2 linked regions of the Coturnix japonica genome follow. Each later gene encodes a partner of the first gene's protein in a complex. Links are inferred from orthologs where the notes say so. Each region holds a gene or a part of one and is shown in the gene's direction. Other genes may lie near its edges.

Region 1 (3,658 bases):
GTAACTAGAGAATCCGTGCAGCAGAGTCATAAGTATTTATCTTTAAGAGCCAACTGCACCATAGTATACAGTGAAATTTGCCATCCTCAAGCTGTGCAGCAATAGTTCTAGTGTTTGAAGTACTTTTGTTGCATAAATCAAGGGGTTCTTTAATGGGGGAAGTCTCAGAATTGCAGGGTCTGGAAGGGGCACTAAGAGTCCAACCCCCCTGCTAAAGCAGGTACCCTACAGTAGGTCACAGAGGCAGGTCTCCAGACAGGTCTTGACAATCTCCCTAGAAGGAGATTCTACAAACCCCTCTGGGTAACCTGTGCCAGTGCCCTTACAGTGAAAAAGGTCTTCCACATGTTTATACAGAACTTCTCCTTTTTGTATCACTATGCATCACCGAGAAGAGACTGGCCTCACTCATTTGCCTCTCATCTGCCTTTAGATATAAACATTTATTGGATCCCCCTTCAGTTGTCTTTTCCACAGGCTGAACAGACCCAGGTTACTCAGCCTTTCCTCAAATAGGAGATGCTTCGAGTCCTTCATCATCTTTGTGGCTCCCTGCTGGACTCATTTTGAGAGATCCCTGTCTTTTTTGAGCTGAGACACCCAAGACTGGACACGGCACTCTTAAATGTGGGAAGTTATGTTAGATGCATCTAAGTGTGCCTAACTTAAAGGAAAGAGCAAGGCTGAAAATGGTCTTGAGAGAGCATAAAACCTTTTAGTTCTTGCAGTTCTACATGTTGATGAAGCTCTGCTTTGAATGACAAGGTTTCTTGTTGTAAATTTCTAATGTTCAGTTTCTAGCATAAAGAGGGTTGGTGGGTAGAGAAAAACTACTGAAGAAGCTCTGAAATTAAGCTTTATTTTCTTATCTGTAAATGCCCAAACGGATATTCAGTGTCTTCTGTATTTTAATAGAACCAAAGCCAGTATATGCACAAGGAGGTCAGCCAGATGTGGATTTACCAGTCAGTCCATCTGATGGTCCTTTACCCAACTCAACCCATGAAGATGGAATGCTTCGGTAACATAACTCTAAATTCTATTTGAGTCCTGTTGCCTTGGTCTTGAGCAATGTTTCTTCTAAGTTAATGAATAACATTTATAAATGGTCTGATGTGAAGTCCAGCATGCTGTTCGGGTGCCTCTATTTGGAAATAGTAGAGTAAAAATTTCAGAAAAATCTTTTCCTTTTGTAATTATTGAAGACCAATTAAAATAATTACAGAAATATACAGTCATGGTATGCAAATGAGTCTAATTCAACTGAATCTCCTTTATGAGCATCAGTGAGAGTATATTCTAGCTGAGGTAATCTCAAAAGTTCATCTTATTCCCTGAAGAGCCAGAATAAATCTCTGTACTAGCACAGCTCTTCCAAAGGGCAGAATGCTTTGGGAAGAGAGTGTCAAAATGCTTCTTAAAACACTATATTAATGTAAGACAAACTTTGCTGTACTAGTAAAGTAAGTTGTTTTTTTTGTTATTTTTAAGTGCTGCAGATGAGTCTGTTGTATAATGGTATAGTTGATAAGCAATCAATGGTAATCGTAGTATAATATCTCCTCTAGTTGAAGCAGTAGGCAAATTATATGCATGTCATCAGTCTGAATTACTCAAACACTTTATGTATATTTACACACATGTGCACAGAGATAGATATATAGGTATATCTCTATATACACACATGTATATACGCAATTCAAAGTGGAATATCTTCTTATTTTCTAGGCCAAGCATGAAACTGGTAAAATTCAGAAAAGGGGATAGTGTGGGCCTGCGGCTCGCTGGTGGCAATGATGTTGGCATATTTGTAGCTGGTGTTTTGGAGGACAGCCCTGCGGCGAAAGAAGGATTAGAGGAAGGAGACCAAATTCTCAGGGTATGTTGAATATAATAGCACAAGTGTTCTGTCATACCAAAGTGGATTTTGTTTCTTTAGTGCATGTTTATTACATGACTTGGCAACAGAATTTCCTTTTACTGTTGCTAGAAAAGTTTGTAAGACTTATGTTCAATTTCTGAGACTAAATTCAGTTCAAAGAAAATGCCTCTAACTGTTGGGCCCCACTGGATTCTCAAGTAGGCTTCTGTATATTACAGTTTAATATTACTGATGTTCATAGATGTTCTGTAATATTAATCTAAAGAAGTCAAAATGAGCAGCTGTCTAATGTTCCAGAGGTTATGCTTATCTCAAACAGTAGTATTCTTTTAGAGCTGTATCTTCCTGAGATCCATGTCCTTGGTGTTCTTATATATTAAGCTGAGTAAACAATCTCAGCAATAAACTAATTCAGTTTACCTGTTATGTAGCTGTGTGTCTATTAAATGATGTATGCTAAATCAAACTGATTACTTCATTGATGCTAGGTTAATAACGTAGACTTCACAAATATCATCAGAGAAGAAGCTGTCCTTTTTTTACTTGATCTCCCTAAAGGCGAAGAAGTAACCATTTTGGCACAGAAGAAGAAAGATGGTAAGTATTTGTGTATCTGAAGCAGTGTAATGGGCTGATTGGAAACAGATTTTAAAAAATACAGTTAAGAAAGGATAATTGTTGGCTAGAAGGAGATTAGCATCTTTAAAAGGCTATTCAAAGTTCTTTTGGGTTTAGAATGGGCTAAAGGTTGATACTGTAGTAATTTTTTTCCTTAAATAAGGAAAAAAAAACCCAAAAAACAAGAAAACACAATAAAAGACCAACCCCAAAGCAAACTACAACAGTTCTATTTTTTTAAAAAACAGCATTTAATGAAATTTTTGGGGGATGGGATGAGGGGGCAGGAAAAGAAGTCTGGTTTTTGCTGTTCTGTTGAAAATCTTTCTTTCCCAGTGAGACTCATTCCTTCCTGAGGAAGTGGATTCAGTTTATACTAACAAATTTTTGACAGCATAAGTTGAATTTATGTTTGTAGAGTTCTTTGTAATAGTTGCACAGCTTAAAACAGAAGCTGTGAGTCATTAAGGTTTTCTGAAGTAATATTTAAAACAAGGAGAATTAAAATGAAACACTGCGCTCCCAACACTTTTCAGGAGCACTATGACTGCAATTTACTGGGACAAGTATAACAGCAACTTTTTTCTTCTTTTAGTTTATCGTCGCATTGTTGAGTCTGATGTAGGGGATTCTTTCTATATCAGAACTCATTTTGAATATGAAAAAGAATCTCCTTATGGACTAAGCTTCAACAAAGGTGAAGTGTTTCGGGTTGTGGACACCCTATATAATGGCAAACTGGGTTCATGGCTGGCAATTCGAATTGGCAAGAATCATAAGGAAGTTGAAAGAGGTATCATACCTAACAAAAACAGGTACGGTATTAAAGTATTTATGCTGTTGTTTGAAAACTACAATTTTTAATTACACATCTGTATAACTTGCTGGGTCTGATGGACATCGGTCTGTAGAACCTGTTCAGCTGGTTGGGGAAAAAGTGCCTGTTAAAATGGGAAACAAACTGATGTTGGATTGCTAGTCCGTGATTTGGTTTCAACTCTTGTACATCCACAGGAAAAAGAAACAGCTGTAACATAGCTCTTTCTTGTGAATGCGAGACTCAAAGCTAGATAAAGCTTTGGAAATCTGAATGTGGCCTGTGTAGTTCATTCTTAAACTTTCTAAGACAGAAGAAAGGAAAACTCGATTCAGTAGATG
Region 2 (2,454 bases), on another chromosome or scaffold:
TGGGTTGTCCTGTCCTAAAGCAAAGTCAACAGCAGTTGCCTGCTCTCAGGTTTTGGCTGGGTGGCTCATTGCTACCTTAAAACAGCTGGCATTGCTCTGTAGGGTCCTTTCTTCTGTTTTTAGTGGCTCTGAGGTATGCAATATAGTTAATCTAATAGTTTCTCTCTCTTGGCTGTGGGTGGTGGAGGCCAGCATTGTTAGCTCAGATTTCAGCAGTGAAAACAAGTCCCAGTGTCAGCAGTGGGACGTAGGCAGCAGTGCCCATAAAATGGCACAGGAGCTGAGCTTCTGATCCACTGTATTAAGGAGATCTCAGTCTGAAGTGTCAACATTAGAAATGGAGAGCAGCCATGCCTTTCTCTTCTGTGTGGAAGCAGCTTTGGAAGCAAGATTTGTTTGTGCAGTGGCAGAGAGCTGCTACTTTATTTCTTGACAGGAGACTTCCCAAAAGCCTGCAAAGGAGACGTAGATCTTCGAGCAAGTCCTGGCGGCTGGAGCTTCCCGATAGCAGGTGATGCCACATAAGAGTTCTGTGTTGGTTGTCACATTTGAGCCTTTCTCTCCCGATTGCATGTTTGCAACGTGCAGGCTTGAGCTCATCAACTCAACTCTTTTGGGGGTTTTGTCTGTTTTCTAGGTAAAATAATTAGACCACCATGAGTTGGAGCTTTCTGACCCGTCTCTTAGAGGAGATCCACAACCACTCCACCTTCGTTGGTAAAATCTGGCTGTCGGTGCTGATCGTGTTTCGGATCGTCCTGACTGCTGTGGGAGGCGAATCCATTTATTATGATGAGCAAAGCAAGTTTGTGTGCAACACGGAGCAGCCTGGCTGTGAGAACGTTTGTTACGACGCTTTTGCTCCTCTTTCTCACGTGAGATTTTGGGTGTTCCAGATCATTCTCGTTGCCACTCCATCCGTCATGTATTTGGGCTACGCCATCCATAAGATTGCCCGGATGGTGGAGCACAGTGACATTGACAGAAGGTTCAGAAGCAAAAGCTTTTCAATGCGCTGGAAACAACACCGCGGCTTGGAGGAGGCTGAGGATGACCACGAGGAGGACCCGATGATGTACCCAGAAATAGAGCTGGAAAGCGAACGGGAGAACAAGGAGCAGCAGCCCCCTGCTAAAGCCAAGCACGACGGGCGGCGGCGAATCCGTGAAGATGGACTGATGAGGATCTACGTGCTGCAGCTGCTGGTGAGGGCGATGTTTGAGATTGGCTTTCTGATCGGTCAGTACCTTCTGTATGGTTTTGAGGTCAGCCCCGTGTTTGTGTGCAGCAGGAAGCCCTGCCCCCATAAGATAGACTGCTTCATTTCGAGGCCGACCGAAAAGACCATTTTCCTGCTCATAATGTACGGGGTGAGCTGTATGTGTTTGCTTTTGAATGTGTGGGAGATGCTCCATTTAGGGTTTGGCACGATCCGGGACACGTTAAACAACAAGAGGAAAGAGCTGGAGGACTCTGGTACCTACAACTACCCCTTTACTTGGAACACGCCCTCTGCTCCTCCTGGCTATAACATTGCAGTCAAACCCGATCAAATGCAATACACAGAACTGTCCAACGCCAAGATGGCCTACAAGCAGAACAAAGCCAACATTGCTCAGGAGCAGCAGTACGGCAGCAACGAGGAGAACATCCCTGCCGACCTGGAAAACCTGCAGAGGGAAATCAAAGTGGCTCAGGAACGCCTGGACTTGGCGATCCAGGCATACAACAACCAAAACAACCCCAGCAGCAGTTCCAGAGAGAAGAAATCCAAAGCAGGCTCCAACAAAAGCAGTGCCAGCAGCAAATCAGGGGACGGGAAGAACTCTGTCTGGATTTAACCTTGGCTGAGTTTATATGTTGTCTTTTTTTCTCACAACCAGCAACCCGTTGAGTAATGGCTTCCATTAAGTAAATATTTGGTTCTGCTTATTTTCAGGGATACTGTTGGCTAGCGATTCCAGCTCTAAGAAAGTGTTTATATGCATACTGTAGGACTGTACAACTTTATTCTTCTGCCTTCCAAGCCAGGAGACAAATAGGTATATTTAAATCATTCTCATTGAACGGTTTACTCTGTATGTACAGTACTATCGTACACTTATTATGCACAATTTTTTGTATTTGTACACTGGATCTCCGAAGTTACCCTTTTTTTTATACGAAAGGAGGAACCTGTAGGTAGCTGTTAGCATTTTGCTGGTTTTATTACTGTGGTTCGTCAACGTTTTCTGTTTGTTTTCAGTGTCAGAACTTTCTATGCTGCATTTGAGAAGTGCCTTGAACACACAGCACCGGGGAGCCCGGTTATCCACTCCCTTAGAGCAGGGGGAGGTTCAGAAAACACCCGCTGATGGTGCTCTTGACTGTACCTTTTTACAGAACTGATGTGCTACTTACAAGTGGAAGTGTCACGCTATAGCTGTTACAGGCTACGTTCCTTAATCCTATGGA

The links.
Region 2: the proteins of TJP1 (region 1) and GJC1 are in contact, whole or in part, in a crystal structure (PDB 3SHW), measured with the Homo sapiens proteins. The link is inferred for Coturnix japonica from reciprocal best matches to the Homo sapiens genes TJP1 and GJC1. Residues at the interface, in NP_003248.3 of Homo sapiens: Lys429, Ser432, Val433, Gly434, Leu435, Arg436, Leu437, Gly449, Val450, Leu451, Val484, Leu487, Leu488, Leu549, Asn551, Gly552, Lys553; in NP_001073852.1 of Homo sapiens: Lys391, Thr392, Ser393, Val394, Trp395, Ile396.

What each region holds. Positions count from the first base shown.
Region 1 is NC_029525.1:5,085,581-5,089,238, reverse strand, and holds part of TJP1 (tight junction protein ZO-1), read left to right. Parts: intron 1-915; coding exon 916-1,021; intron 1,022-1,728; coding exon 1,729-1,879; intron 1,880-2,370; coding exon 2,371-2,479; intron 2,480-3,095; coding exon 3,096-3,315; intron 3,316-3,658. UniProt on the Homo sapiens protein: TJP1, TJP2, and TJP3 are closely related scaffolding proteins that link tight junction (TJ) transmembrane proteins such as claudins, junctional adhesion molecules, and occludin to the actin cytoskeleton.
Region 2 is NC_029542.1:749,326-751,779, reverse strand, and holds part of GJC1 (gap junction gamma-1 protein), read left to right. Parts: intron 1-436; exon of another isoform or gene 437-511; intron 512-637; 5' UTR 638-656; coding exon 657-1,841; 3' UTR 1,842-2,454. UniProt on the Homo sapiens protein: One gap junction consists of a cluster of closely packed pairs of transmembrane channels, the connexons, through which materials of low MW diffuse from one cell to a neighboring cell.